Caenorhabditis elegans: one gene and its partners. The protein of the gene in region 1 purifies or fractionates together with the protein of each later gene. This does not show direct contact. Each region holds a gene or a part of one and is shown in the gene's direction. Other genes may lie near its edges.

Evidence for each region.
Region 2: the proteins of ceh-6 (region 1) and egl-27 purify together in Caenorhabditis elegans (affinity purification with western blotting, with the first as the bait; one study listed by BioGRID). This does not show direct contact.
Region 3: the proteins of ceh-6 (region 1) and sem-4 purify together in Caenorhabditis elegans (affinity purification with western blotting, with the first as the bait; one study listed by BioGRID). This does not show direct contact.

Annotation. Positions count from the first base shown.
Region 1 is NC_003279.8:8,497,610-8,504,330, reverse strand, and holds ceh-6 (Homeobox protein ceh-6), read left to right. Parts: upstream 1-1,726; 5' UTR 1,727-2,070; coding exon 2,071-2,244; intron 2,245-4,243; coding exon 4,244-4,698; intron 4,699-4,918; coding exon 4,919-5,021; intron 5,022-5,112; coding exon 5,113-5,247; intron 5,248-5,293; coding exon 5,294-5,395; intron 5,396-5,737; coding exon 5,738-5,911; 3' UTR 5,912-6,219; downstream 6,220-6,721. UniProt on the Caenorhabditis elegans protein: Vital for embryonic development and essential for the proper function of the excretory cell. Required for the transdifferentiation of the Y rectal epithelial cell to the PDA motor neuron during larval development.
Region 2 is NC_003280.10:6,833,484-6,838,047, forward strand, and holds the start of egl-27 (Egg-laying defective protein 27), read left to right. Parts: upstream 1-1,537; 5' UTR 1,538-1,597; coding exon 1,598-1,682; intron 1,683-1,971; coding exon 1,972-2,090; intron 2,091-2,103; exon of another isoform or gene 2,104-2,210; intron 2,211-3,143; coding exon 3,144-3,284; intron 3,285-4,368; coding exon 4,369-4,494; intron 4,495-4,543; coding exon 4,544-4,564. UniProt on the Caenorhabditis elegans protein: Transcription factor which promotes stress survival and delays aging. Required for cell cycle progression and development of the mesodermal and endodermal embryonic lineages.
Region 3 is NC_003279.8:7,037,190-7,041,926, forward strand, and holds the start of sem-4 (Spalt-like protein sem-4), read left to right. Parts: upstream 1-1,710; 5' UTR 1,711-1,718; coding exon 1,719-1,794; intron 1,795-3,451; exon of another isoform or gene 3,452-3,522; intron 3,523-4,737. UniProt on the Caenorhabditis elegans protein: Transcription factor, involved in positive and negative modulation of transcription. Binds to multiple DNA sequence motifs in the regulatory elements of target genes, including homeobox selector egl-5 and LIM homeobox mec-3.

The DNA of each region.
Region 1 (6,721 bases):
ATTTGAAAATGATTTAAAGCTAAAATTTAAAATACTCTTAAGAAGGCTCTTGAAGATGTATTTGGGTGCAATATTAATATAAAAAATACGGTATTCAACATTTACAAAAATCAAATATAAATGAAAACCAATATACTTAAATTTTTACATAAATCCAACTAGAGTACCATTGAAATATCTATTTCGGTTATTCACAACAAAAACTCGATTCTAACTGAGTAAAAGATCATCCGAAGACAAGCGGAAATTGGCACAAGCTTTCAATCCGGCTTAGAGGAAAGCGAAATTCGAGATTTATTGAGTGGGAAGATATGGGGAAAAGTGAGAAAACGAACATCTTGCAGCTGGAGTCATAGTTACAGAAATCAAGACAAAACTTTTTTTCAAACAAAAAATAAAAAATTTATCGCGTTAATTTTGATTGATTTCAACTATTACTTGCAGATTAATAAAGTTTTGGAATACTAAAAATCTTGAAAAGCATCCAGACTTAAAAATATGTATGGGACATTTGCCTTATTTTGATCTACATAGTCACACTAGTATGAATATACAATCAAATTATAAAACATGTGCAATAAAACATGATGGAACTTCAGAAAAAAAAACTGGGTTAAACTAAGTGATAGGTCAGTTTAAGAGGCACATTTTCAACCGGAACTTCTTGACAGTTCACAGCAAATTTGAAACCAAATTTTGCAACTTTAGCGATGGAAATGTCTAAAGGATATTAAACAGCGGCAAATTTTCAAGTTGAAAGAAACGAACTCGAAATCTATTTTCCTGAAATAAAAAATATAGAAGGAACCTATCAGGGAATATAACGTCGGTGAGGAAATGAGGATGAAAGTGATGGAAGAAGAGAGAAAGGGGTGCGGGAAGAAGAGTTGAAATTCATTGCTCATGCAAATCTTATGCCGTGTGTCTCTGTATGTATTTGTATGTGTGAGTGCCTTCTTTTTCCAACCATTCTCATTCTTCGCCACCCTCATTTTTGTCTGTTTCCTTTATTCAGTTTTCGATCGTCTCAAGATTTTTGAGAAATTTCATGAAATTCGCTAGGTTTTCGATTTTTTCTACCTTCCAGAAGTAATTTTTTATTTGAAATATGTGTATTGTGTAAAGTTTTCTTGTTAAAAACTTACGGTGTCAACTTCCAACTGCTTTGGGATATTTTATTGCAAACATACACTTCTTTTTTTGTCTACTTTTCTGTCAGAAGAAAAATATATTCGAGTATGAATAACCACTGAATTTACTGTATTTTTTTAGTTTACAATCGATGAAGTTTTCAGCTGTATGGAAAAAAGATGGAAAAGATTTTTCACCAGGTTGTCAATACGTAACGCTCTTTTGCCAAAATCTATTGAAATTATTACATAATAACTATTATTTTAATTGTTATCAAGCGTTGGCTTTTTAATTACCGTCTTTCCTCTAATAGCATTACACTGTATTGCTCAACTTTGGCACCTCATATCTAGATTGTCTTTGGGTTGATCAAAATGTTAGCAACTAACAAAACATTGGGTATTTATTATCTATAGTTTTGTAAAAAAAATAAGTTGTAAAATACTTCAAAAGAACCGAAAAATAGGCTTTCAAAAAGAATAGGCGGATGCAAGATTTTACGATTGTTTTGAAACTTAGAAATCTTCCAATAATGTGTTTCTATAACTTTCAACACCTCTTCAAATAACTCCAAATAAATAAATGTATTTCTAGACACTAAACCCATATCTTCACAATTCTACAGCATCAATGTCTCATGACAGTAGGCGTGACCATCTTTACAAACATATCAAAGAATGGGCGTGTCCTGATGTCAATTCTCGTCGATTGGTTATACGATTACGGTGGCTAGACGAGACGCAGAAAGACCGCTTTCCTGCCAACACATTCCAAGTGGCTCCCGTGTGAAAAAGAGACGCAGCAAAAAGGGAAACGAAGAAGAAGAAGACCGCCCCTCTTTTGACTACTACCTCTTCCTTTTCTCTCTTCATTTTCAACACACACATCCCATCTTTTCCACAGTAGTGGCCACCCCGTTGCTCCTGGACTTCCCAACTGATGCTCATACCTTCGTCGTCATCCATACCGTCTTCTTTATCTGCTTCAGCATCCGATTCTGAGCCATCATCACTGAACGGAAGTGGTATAAGTGATCAGAATATTCTACCTAATTATCATCTTCATCATCATCTAATTAACGAGAACGAGATGGAGGCAGCCAATTATGCACAGGTTAGTTCTTCTTTTTATTCGTTTCCTCCCACAACTGATTTGATTCTGATGAGGACGACATTATACAGCGAGTAGGTCCAAAAAAGGAGGCAAGCGGGGGGGGGGGGGCACAGCATTTGAATTTCAATTTTATGCCAATAAGAATCAGCCCCTCGACTGCCCCATTCAGTTCTTCTACACTTGTTGCCTCAAACTCTAACAGTGTCTTACCGCTGTTACAAAGTTGTATATTGTACATTGTTCTGATAGATTGTTATTTTCTAGGCATAAAGTAACATTCATCTAGAAAATTAGTTGAGCTGATACTCCTATATTTTAAGGTGTCTCTGATAGTACCTCAACTGCTTGTAGATCGACAAATGATGTAGTTGTTTCTTTCATTTGTGTTCTGAAAGTATTAGGTGGAACCGTAAACCCAGAATTCTGATGTTCCTGGCAGTATAAAACTTTTTATATCCTAGACATAAAGTGCCAAGCTTCTGTAATTTAGTTGAGCTAAAACTTCAATAAAGTATTGTTTAGATTAACTACTTGTAGGAATGATAACAGGTAATCTAAATCTATATTTTCACTGGCATTAGGCTTTCATTTATACAATGTTTATTTTGTTATAAAAATTGTGAACTGTAACTCCAGATTTTTGAAATTCTTACAGAGCAGTTTTTTCATTGTGAAACTAAAATAATTAATTTGAAGTTGAAATATTAAACATTTGCTATTATAACTATAAAAAGGTCTACTAAACCGTCAAATTGGAAAATTGATTTCGAAATAATGTGGGGACTAATAAAAACTGCAAAAATTGTTTGGTGAAACCTTACCTACTTTTAGGAATAATCAACAATGCATTTAACTATAATTTTATAAAACTCTTTGAAATTTTTCTCATTGATGTTTTTTAACTGCCAATGACTTGGTAAAAGAAGTATAGAAGGCTTAAGAAACATTTTGGTCCTTGGTCAGTCTAGAATTCATGAAATCGGAGCCGTAATTTTTCATTATACTGGTTTGTAATTATATCCTTTTTAAACACCTCAATCAATATTTGTATTATTTTCCTATTCACTAATGTACCTTCCAAATATCCCAGAACAATACAGTATCACTAACACGAACTGCACGTCATCACATATCATTCTCTCTGTAAAACTTGATGACTCTTTTTCAATCCGATTATCAAAATTTCCGCCCTTTCTTCTGTTTCTAGTACATCTCTCTTCATGTACACAAACTACTACAGTACCCCTTGAGTCTCTCAAAGATCGTTGCATTCGTCTGTCTCCACGTAGATACCATGTATAATAGACTCATGAGAATCTTTGTGGGAAACAGTTATCAACAATTCAATATTATTTTGTCATGTGTGGAGCGAAAACCAACAGAAAAAGGAAGAGTTGATGATGTACTAGAGGGTAGAAAATTGGCAGATGTAGTCCCTAAGAAGGCGCCGTGCTAAAGAGGATTAAGATTGATTGGCCTCTTTTTTTCTCTAAGCTGGGTGTTCATCTGTTCAAGACTAAATTGGATCGAGGCCAAAATTGTAGGGCCAGAAAATTGAACGATTTTATATAAGCAGTGAGGGATGAAATAAGAAGCTCCGGGAACATTGTCACAGTTCATCAGAATACTTTTATTTCATTAATATGGCTGAACTTTCAAAAATTACTCGAAGGAGCTGCGACCCATAATGATGTTACATACAATCGTCTCAATCGATTAGATTTCATAATGAGATATTAAAAATCCTGATTTATGTTGCAAATTTGAACTGTGTGTTCCGTTTTTTCACTGATTTTTCACTGAATATACTTTTTTCAATTGGTAGGCGCACATACCATTTTGAATCCTTTAAAACAAGGAAAGTTATATCTTTTATTTTTAGCACACTTTTTAATAGTTTCGGAACGTTTCTTATTTCAAAAATATTTAATAAGCTGTCACTCGAAGTACCACGTATTTTCAAAAACGACATTACAATTCTAGCTGCAAAATGTTTCAGGTTATCAAACCAACATGCGAGGCATTCCAAGATTGGCCGCATACTCCAATGCTGTATCAACAACCTCAACTTCATTTCATGCTTCCACAACACGATTGGGCATATCCACATCTTGCTCAATCTCTACCTCCTCCACATCATCTAACACCGTCCACTGCAGCAGTTGCTGCTGCAACAATTGCCTCACAAAGTTCAATAATCAATCAAACGTCTGTGGTTACAAGTACACCTTCGTGCCAAATCAAACAGGAAGTTGAACGACCTGAAATTATTCAGAGGTTAATGCCTCCATGGCCACCAGCTTATCAATTTTCTTGTGATGATAGTGGATCAGTGAGTGGAGCTGGTGGACCACATCAGCCATTATCTGATATTTCCGATGATAGTGAACAGACGTGTCCAGATGATTTGGAAGGATTTGCAAAACAATTTAAGCAGAGAAGAATCAAATTAGGGTGAGTGAAAATTTTAAATGTTCTCTACACATAACTGTAAAAAGTTAAACTTTTGAAAATAACAATTTCGATATCTCAAACATTTCGAGGCAACGTTCTGTCAACCAGCTGGTACAATGCCAAAGTTGGGCAGAAAGTTATCCTCAAATTCTGATCAAATTGGAATTTATCAGTTGGCAATTCCTCATATTCTTTCATTTTCATGTTCTTCAATTTCCAGATACACACAAGCAGATGTAGGTGTGGCTCTCGGAACACTCTACGGAAATATATTTTCCCAGACAACAATTTGTCGTTTTGAAGCGCTTCAACTCTCTTTCAAGGTTTGTTGACTTTCATCCACATGACTTTCAACGGAAACTGTTTCTTGTTGCCGACTTTTCTATGTTTTAATTGAATTTAATTTCGTTATAGAATATGTGCAAACTAAAGCCACTTCTATTCAAATGGCTCGAGGAAGCTGATTCAACGACTGGCTCGCCCAATTCTACATTTGAAAAAATGACAGGGCAAGCTGGAAGAAAGAGAAAGAAGAGAACAAGCATTGAGGTAGTTTGTGTTTAAAACTGAAAAATGTTATATACCGGTGTTTCAGGTCAATGTAAAATCTCGTCTTGAATTCCATTTCCAGTCGAATCAGAAGCCAAATGCACAAGAGATTACACAAGTTGCCATGGAGTTGCAGCTTGAGAAAGAGGTAAGGATATTTTTCTATTTTCCGGAATTTTTATTACTGTGAACTTCGAATTTTTTTTACAGTAACTTGACAATGATTTGAGATTTTGATTATTATGAATGAGATTTTGATTATTAATTCATTTAATTAAAGTGTTTCTCTACAAAAAAAAGTGTCCCAATAAAATATAAAGTTTAGGTTTAAGTTTAGTTTAGTACGGTTTAAATACCGTTAATTAAAATTGCAAATGTAGAGTGTGAAAAGGGTGAAGAATGAGGCAAGTGAAAGGGGCGCCTGGAGCAAGTTAAACGCCTACCTCATTAAATTTTTCTGAAACTTCACTTTCTCAAAAGTATAATTTAGGTTGTCCGTGTCTGGTTCTGCAATCGTCGTCAAAAAGAGAAGCGAATAGCTCCAAATCAATACGATGCTCCACATCCAATGGCTTTAAACAATGGATATCCAATGACTGCTGACCTTTTCCCATATCAAGCCGTCGTCAATCATTATACTCAACAGAGCCCGAGACAACAATAGTTTTTTGTGATGCGTATTGATGTAGCAGTAATATAATAATAATAATACTCAAATGAATCACCGGTAATTTATAATGACAGAAAGTTTAATAGTTTTCAAACATCCTTCTCTGAAGAAGACCAACAGTATTTCTTTTCCCCTATTATTTTTTTTGATACAATCCTCTTCACTTCTCACATCATTCTGAAAATGGGTATTCGTTTTTTACAATTATTAATTAGTTCTATTGTGTATCATTTCTAAATTAGTTTCCAAACTTTTTATTTTGTTCGAATTCATTTATTTTATAAATATCTGTACGTTAAAATGGAAGTAGCATATTTTAATTTAGATGTCTGCTGAATATAATTATATATAACTGTCTTTTTTCAGAGTAGGTAAAAATCAGAATTTAAAAAATTCAAAAAAGGAAATTTGATCTAGAGCATAAGCTTTCGAATAACTCATATAACTTTAAAGTTTTAAAAAAGTTCAAAATTTTCAATTTTGCAAATAAAACTGAAAATTACTGAATTAATGTATTTCTCAATTGGACTTGCACACTTTTGCTCTATTATGACAGCTGTATCCGTTATCATTGTCTCAGTTGTCTCTGCATTTATCAAAAATTGTCAACTGTAAAAAGACGTGCAAAATTTTTCTCTATATTTTAATTATTACAACTTTTTGATAACAGTTAAGACATCCGATAAAAGTCTATAAGTCGCCGAGCCGTTGGGGGAAAATCTACTAGAACAACTACGGTAGTTTTGAATTCCCGCACAAATGAATGACCTAGTTGTGGGAATTTCATAAAAATTAGAAATTTGA
Region 2 (4,564 bases), on another chromosome or scaffold:
TTTCATTTATGTTTGTCTAGCCTGACAATTGACCTGACCACCAACCATCAGGTCTCTCCCACGTTTTGTATTTTTATTATGCACATTACGAACTGTGTGAAAATGGCTGTCGTATCATAATAAATTTTGGAAAAAGAAAACATCTGAAATGTTGCCAGTTCTTTGATTCTCAAAATGTTCAAATGATATTCATAAGACTCTCATCTTGTTTGCCATATTGTCATTAGCAGGTCATCCTCTTCTATTCAATTCTGGCTAATCCCCCGTTCCCCCTTTCTCTTATAATTCATCGTTCCTCACTGTTTGGTTGAATGAAAGAGCACAACAACACTTGTAATGAGTTATTTCATATTTTGAAAAAGTTGCCACGTCATGGAAAGCCAAGACACAGTGGCGGTCTGCTTTGAGGTCGTCACTGTCACCGTCGAACTGTTTTTGATCGCAAACATACATCGGTTGTCTCGTCTCTCGGGTTGTCTCTCTCTACCTCTCTCTCTCTCTTTTCCTTCGGTGACTACCTCTCCTCCCTTCCCGCCACACCGTCCTCCCCCTTCCACCGACTATTCCACCTTTTTGTGGTATGTACTAGCACTATTCTCTGCGTCTGTTTTACAGTTCTCATTCTCTCACACACACTTATTTTTCCCCAATTCTTATGGTAGTTGAATGTGAGTACAGTGTCCACTAGGATCTAGACTTCAGGACTCATTCTGAAAGTTGAGCCGAGGTCACGTGTGAAAACTGAGCTCTTTTCCTACACCTTGCCCCTTCTTGACAATTGTCGTTCTTCCTCTTTCTTATCATCACTTGACTTTTTTGAGCGACATGCTGGACAAGACAAGTCGTTTAATGGATGATGTTGCGATTTACTATCATCTGTTAGTATGCGCTAAGTAGGTGCGAACGTATGACGAGTTACAGTAATTTATTAAGCTTGAAGGTTTTTGAAGGATTTTATGAAGTTTGATCAAGTTCTTGAGTTAAGTAAACATTTTCTCTTGTGATCTTAATTGATTGTGAAAATAGTGAACAATTCAAGTTCTTGAAAAGATTTGATTTGTGTAAGTTAGAAAATGTGTGTTACCAATTACTGTTGTATTTGACTTCTAATGGATCTTCCGAGTCAATCAGATTCCTTGGCGCTCGGTGGTCCTGCTCCTGCTGCTAAATACACCAAAATATTTGATGAATGCGGTGCGACGGCGATGCCGCCAATGTCTCTTTTCCTAACGGACCAGTCGTGTATGTGCTCTGTGTATGTGCCCCACTAACCGACGACGACGACCCTCGCCCGCCCCACGCCACTCCCACACCCCACCCCGTCTTCATCCCTTTCCTCTCTCCCGTCTTCCTTTCTTCTATCCCTCGGTGCTGTTCTAGTTTGTGTTTTTACTAGGCTCTAGAGGGTTCCGGAGGGAAAGAAAAAAGAACTTCTGTGCTTTTCATCACCATCTTCCTCTCTCATCTCATCTTTTCATTTTTTATCCAGCTGATTTTCGTGTGTTCTCAATGATTCAAATTAAGACCAATTCTTTAGGATAGTTCATCATTTTTGGGGGAGCAAACTGGAAAAACTAAAAAAGGCAACAAGACAAAGATGAGCCGCTTTGACAGCCAGTGCAGTAGTGAAGACGTCAACAAAGAGGACGAATGTGTGCCGTCGTCATCTGAGGATAGCCAAGGTAATGAAATTGTAACTGAACCGTCTCTGTGTCTTCTTGTATGTCATGTCAACCTAGATACGGGTATTCCCAGTGGGGGCCGTTCTTTTAGAAAGATGGCCCCATCTTCACCAGCGTAAAATGTTATGATTCTCGCTGCGGATTAGCGCTTAGCGGATTAGTCGAACAAATGTACGAACACATAAGAAGACACATGCGGCAATTCTTTTTTGTAACTTTTGATTGTGTGATCTAGATTCTAAAGACCGCCTACTTGAAATAATTTAAAATATAAATTATCAAATTTCAGACGGCGTTTCTTCCCCAATGGAAAACGATGACGAACCAGAATTTTCCCAAAAGCATTACGATATTGAACCATGTTATTATAGTCTTACAGGCAAATCGGATAGGAATTGCCGTGGAATAGTAAGTCATTTTTTAATTCAAAAATCTGAAATTTGAGTAATTTCCTGTACTCTTTAATAGTTATAATCTGAATAGACATCTTATGTATGCGTATCTTCTTCCCCTTCAATATCTCAACACTCGAAAAACCAATTAATTGTCGTTCTGTCGAGTTTTTGGAAGAGACACAGACATTTAGGCAGTTTAGTGTGTAGGGGAGGTCAAAAGGAAGAGGAGACGCTGGTCATAATTCAAATTCTCTCCCGATTAGACGAACATCGCTACAAATAGACAAAAACCTGGATTTCAATCTTTTTTCACCCGTTTTTTCTGCGAAACGTTTTGATGGCTAAACCTCAAACATTGCGCTTACACACACACACATTGCGAGCTTCAAATCGAGAAGAACCAGATAGTCAAACACTGAGAAGATCGCGAGCCGAAAAAAAAACCGAAGTGACCTCTCTTCTCGTTTCGTCAAAAATTGAAAATTGAACTTTGACTAGATTAGTTGTCAGTCGGCAGCATACTTCCTCGAATTGTGCGCATGTTTTCCAAAAAAAAGCGAAGCGAGGCAAAAACAGCTGCCCAATTTTTGATCTGAAATTCGAGACAATTGCTTTTTTCTGGCTGGCAAGGAAAGCAAAGTCAACAGAAGTTTTCGGAGACCCCAGAGAGATGCTTCTTCCCTCAAGAGAGTACAAACAAAAGAGACGCTTGAGAGTTAAAAAGATAGATACTATGCGACAATAGACACACAAACACAAAAAAACATTTTTTGCCGCATTATATGATTTGTTTGTTTGTTTTGAAATGTGCGCTCATAATATTTCATTCTCTCACAGTTTAGTGTTAGTTGGCATTGACCTAGTGTGAGACGAGGTGCCAATTGACAACTGAAGCTAATGAGAGGAGAGACGCAGACGACAAGTACAAGTGAACACTAGTTCATTTCACCTCAAAGATACAGAGAAACCGGAAAGATAAATAAGACAGACTAGTTTCTAATATAATATCGTTAGTTGAAAGTTTGAAACATACAAATCTACTGATTTACTAAACATATTTTTTCAGGTATACCGGTATCGACAAGACAGTGATCTAAAAGGGTTTCAATCACATGATGGCACATTGTACAGGCTACGAGATTCAGTATTCGTAGAAGTGTCACAAAACGAGCCGTATGTGATAGCGGCAATATGCGGATTTAAATATGTGAGTAATGAGATCGTGAGGCATGTCAGCAGATGGTTCTGCCATATTAAGGTTTTTGAAATAATTGTTTCTTGGAAACTTGTTCCTCAAAAATCAGAACCACAATAGATCAAATCGTTCCACAGTGTTACAATGAAATATTTATATAATGGGCAACACTCAGTGAATGTAGCGATAAGATAACAAATTCGGCATTTAAAAATTAATGTTGCGAGAAACCGGGTGATGTTTGACAATTTCGAAATAAATTGATAGAAAAGGGGGTTTAAGGACAAATTGAACTTTTTGGAAAATGAAAAATGAGGTTTTCTTTTTGAAACTAGAGATTCTTTGATACTTTATAATCTCTGCTGACCTCTTCTCAAATTCCAAACAACTATCAATTTACTTGTTCTCTATATCTCTTCATTCCCTTGTTCCTTGAACTACTGGTTTAGAGGAGGAGAGAACCGCACTTGTGTAAATATTGACACAGTTTTAGTGGGTTCATGTATTCCCTTCATGTTTTCCTTTCGACTGATAGCACTGAATACTTTTTTAAACATAAAAGTATAAGGAAGATGTCATTGAGTCATTTGCCCACTTGTTCGTCCTTCAGAACCCACTAAAAACCGTGTCATAATCGGATTGCGCGGGAAGTCGTTGAGAATTAGAGAATGCATTGAAAGTGAAAAAACATAAACTTTTTAATTCAAACACTTTTATAGTATCATCACAAAAACATACATTTTAGTATACACAATAAAAGTAGAAAGTTTGCTCACTTTTATGAGCTGTGAGAAGAACATAATGTTCCTCTTTGTTGTTGACAAAGCACATTCACGTGACCAACTGATGAGCTTATTTTAGAATTTAAATAGGAAATTGGGATAACTAGTTTTTAAAGCCAAAATTCTAAGAGCAACAAAATTACAATATTTTCTAGTTTTGACAACGCAGGGATAATTTTTCTTCTGGATTTTCAAAGCCGAAAACTGAGTTTATCAAAAAAGGTAAATTCCTTTGACAGGGCTACACATAGTATTCAAAAAATGATAAGAGATTATATATTTTTCAAAACAAAATAAAGAATACCAATTTTCAGACAAAACGAGATCACGTGGTAGTGAAACTTACGAGGTACTTCAGAGCAGACGATATACCTGAGATATCTTTAAATTTAATGAAACAAGAACGAGCTGAGCTTGAAATCAATCCACATTTATGTCCAGTTAGTTTAATTTTTAAGATTTTCAGAATTACTCACATTTATTTTTCAGCAATCATTAAATCGAGAATTA
Region 3 (4,737 bases), 1.5 Mb from region 1:
GCGCGAATCGAATCGAATATGTCTCCCCTCACCACCACCACCACGGGGGTGACAATTATCATCAAATTCGTCTCGAATCATCGACGACGTCTTCTGATGAAGAGAGAAAAAAAAAGACTTTTTCTGGGGTTGACTGTGTTCATTAATTCAATTAGTGTTTTATCAATCATTCAACAAATCATGCAAGTAATTCAGTTATTCATTCATTGATTTGCCATTTTTAGAAATTTCTGCTTTTTTAGTCAAGTTCTGAGGTTGAGACTTTCTTGAGAACTTTCAATAATGTAGTTCCATTTTCACATAAAACAATTTCAACCTGCCATGTTATTTTTAATATCTCAGCTAACACCTTTCAGAGCTCACTTACAGAAGCTTAACATCTGCAAGACGGAGCAACCATTTTTTCTGTAGTCTGGCGTCGAGCATGATTTTTAAAAATGATTTGTACTAGAAACTAATTGTGACGCCACAATTTGCGAGAAAGGGACACTGTCACTTTATAGCGATATATGTATCTATAACAAATTTCTGGGTTAGCTTTGCACTAAGGCTTGTATCTGAAAACGTCCGATCCTCATTTCCTATCTAAATTTAGAAATCAAACTTTACAACTCAACCTAAAATAATTCTAGTCTACAAGATCTGATGACTCATAATCCGAAAAGCCTGTAGAACACACACAAACAGAACTCAGACCCCACCAAATTTAACGGAATCTTCAACCGCATCTCGCACTTTATATTCATACCGATCCGATCTTTTTTCCATCCTTTTTTTCCAACTATTTCAATTGCAACACCGTATCCACCTCATGGAAAAGGGGAACCGCTCACTCACTCATTTTATACGATTTTCATCTTCTACACCCTCACTTACTCACATCATCACTCACTACCTTCCCCTGATCATTTTTTGAGATATTCTTTCTTTACCCAACCATGAACAACAAAATTTCATATTTACACTCGAAAAAAATCATCCGATTCAAGATTCTTCTGCGGCTATACTCGTCATTTGGCGCGAACTGATTGCCTATGGTTGATCCAAAAATTACTCTTTCAAAAACTGACAAAGCTCGGGGCAAACTTGAGAAAGTCCTGGTTTATGATGTACCCAAATTAAACTCACGTTTTATCTAGCTGTTGTGAAACTTGTATTGTATCGTTTTAAACTTGGCTGAGACGCTGAAAAGAGTTAGATCAATTTTGGGCTGAATCTGGGTGCGGCCTAAACCCAGTCATATAACCAAGTATTTCGTAACTTTTGCAAAGACAAATGGCGAGCCGGTGCATAATTCAAAAATGTTCATTCCAAAAATGCATTATGGGCAAATTTAGACTATAGGCTCGCCGCTCGATAACTAGCTCATTCGAGCAATATCATTTATGATTAATGACTCTATTTTAAAGTTCAATTTTTTATCGTCAATTGAATTCCATTCCCATTCCCTTACTGCCATCTCGTGTCTTCAATACTTTTACCATTTTACTCTAATAATATAAATTTTGATAATAGCCTTGTTTTCGCAATATGTGCCCCCTTGTCCCGTCGCCTTCTCATCTTTCTAATATAAATCGTTTTTGTTCTGTCTCTTTTCTCTGTGTGTGTTGTTTTGTATCCTTTTCTCTGCTTTTTTCCCTCTTCTTGTCCACTATTACTCTTTCATTCTTTGCCTATCATGCTCATCTTCTAGTAATTTCAACTTTTCAGAGCTCCAGATGAATGAGCTGCTCGCCGAGATGGCCGCGGTTTCATCCCGCAGAAAACAGTCAAAACCACGTCGAATGTCTGGTGGTAAGTTGAGGGAAATGAGAGGAAAATGCGGGGTGTTTAATGAAGTAAAAGACAAGAAAATGAAACAAGGCGATGATGATCGACCTTGAAATCTTGAAATTTTCTGCGAAAATAACAAAGTTGAATATTAAAACTTAAAACGCACTTTTGGAATGTTTCAAAATCATTTTAGTTCTACATTTTTGAAGGTTTTTAGACTTTCTAGAAAAACCAGTTATCACTAGTTTTTATGGGTTTTTGGGACATAAGTAATGAAAATTGGAAGGAGACAATAAATTGGTGTAAATTTACAATTTTAATGTCAATTCCTCTTATCAACTTATCAATATTATTCATATTACTTCGAATAGTTTCGGACGAGACATTTGCTAGAAAACCAGTATTAAAAAAAAATTAATATTACCAAAACCATCCTAGTTTGGCATTTTCATTTAAATATAATTTATCATATATTTCTCGTTCATTCATTTTTTTAAGTTTTAATGAGAAATCTGTCACATCTGTTCCACTTCAAGGAACACTTTTTCATTAAAATGTTTCCAACACAGAACCTTGTCAAATATGATAACATATCTCTTATCTCTATCTCTTTCGTATCTTCTTACCTCATTTTTAGTGTTTTTTCAATGCTTTTCCTTCGATTCTTTCAATCATAACCAATCAAAACCTACCGTAGTCCAAAGAGCTCCTCCCGAAGACCAGAGACACTTATTATATTTCCATTCATCTTTTCATATTGCTCCGCCCCTCCGTCACATTTCCATCCAATCATAAGCGACTATGAGGAGAAAGTGAGAGAGAAAAAAGAGCAAGAAAGCAGAGAAACGAGAGAGAGAGAGAGAAAATGTCCAAATATGGGAGTGCAAGGGGAAGGGAGAAAGAGTTTCGGAGAAAAAGAAAACCAATCAATTTGGCAAGTTCTGAGACAGACAGACATGAGAGAGAAAGGATGAGAGCATGTTGAAAAGGGGATGACAATTTGACAATTTGAACTTGGTGTCCAGCTCAAAGAGCAAGACTGAAATTTGTTTTGAAAGTTTTTAGTAGATAATGTTAACCAAAACGAGTTTCACAAATATTTCACCTGTGACAATAAAAGTTTAATTTTCCATTCAGTACTGTCAAACATTTCAACAGCTGTTGACAATTCGATGAATGTGAAGACCCAGTCTCTTAGAGCATGACTTTGTATGCAGAATATTTCTTGGTACTTTCTGCCTGTGTATGTGCATACAAATTTTACAGTCGTATATTTTCTATAAACATGTTGAAATTTAAGATTAACCTTTTTTTATTTAAAGATATATAGGCTTACTATTAGGCCGAGGTTGCCTTGCAGGCACGTATGCTCAAAAAAATTTTATATTCATCTTTGAGAAAAGAAGTGTATCATTTGTATCATAATTTCCGGTATCAGTTGTCTCTAAACCACCACCATCAGCTCTCGGCTTCATCTTCACAAATCATTTTTTGTGACGAACAAGTGCTCTTGTGTGTGAGACTTGAGACTTATTGTCATCTCATCTCTCTGCTGATTCTTCCATTGGCTGAGCCCATTATTATTTTTTTCTATTGAAAGCCTTATTGATTCTCTCTTTTTTGTGCTTCAAGTGGCAACATTATTGTGTTCGAGGTCCGCGAGCCGCCGCCTTCGACACGAGTCGAGTCGAGCCATCATAAAATCGAATTTATGATCGAACACAAAAGAAGTTTAGAGTGGCAGGATGAAGACGTTGTTGTTGCGAATCAGAATTCTTCTTCTGTGGGTCTTCTCCCCTCGAAACTCGATCATTTATTATAGTGTTTTTGTGTAATACGAGAGAAATAGTGTGCAATATCAGAGCTTCCTCCTTCAACAAGCAATATGAATTGGTTGGACGATGGAGACGAAAATTGAAACATTATGTGTGTGTGTCACAATGTGTGTGTGAGAGTGTGTATTTGAGGACCAGCAGAGTATCATCATCTCATATATTTTATGGATTTTTGATGGTAGCAGAGGTAGATGAGTTGAAAAAAAAGATATTTGGGGAGGAGGAGCGTTTGGATAACACTCATTAACATTGGAGGACTCTTTATGAGCGCGTGAGAAGAGAATGAATGAGACTATTATTGAATGGATGATATCAAACCAACTGACTCGCACACAGATAAGATGATAAAAATGAAGAGTTTTTGAGTTTTTGCTCATGAGTTGCAGTTACCAGAGTACTTTATTTTAAGGGGCTCAATTACGATATTTGCACAATCAAACAGTTCAAAACTGAAAATAGATAGCGTCATGTAATTCTCGCCTCGAACGAAAGTTTGGGTAGTTCCTTTGAATCCAGTACTATCTGATAATTGAAAGATTTCAGCTGCAAAAGGCAACTCGTCACCAAATTCTCAGCCAAATTTCGCCAACTTCGGCCACTTCCGTAAATGGCACCTAGAAAAACGCTAAAGTTGGTTAAGAAATATCGTTGATTTTCCGAGCAGTTTGACGAGATTTTTTGTTTTAACTTTCAGCTGAAATTTTTTTGAGAGCAGATTTTTCGAGTCTATTTACTACTACTTTGGAGGACCGTAATTTTGCTCTTAAATTGAATTCGGAAAAAATTATAATTGTAAAGGTCTCTAGGGGTATGCAAACATTTTGGAATATTTTTGGAAATTTTAATTTAAAAAAATTAAAGCCTAAAAATATCCAATTTTGAGCAGTCTTCCAGTTCTCAAAGAAATGAATCATTCACTTTAAAAATTTTCAAATTGAAATTTACTTTATACAGTTAATGTACAGCGACATTTTGTGTGGTTACCCAAAATTATATTAAAACAATTGAAGATATCTAGAAAGTTCAAAATTTGTTGCTTCCAGTGTTTTTTGAAGAAACAGGATTTACTTTGGATCTTTTGATCTAAATACTTGAAGTTGTCGTTTTGCTTCGATGTTTTAATTTGTTC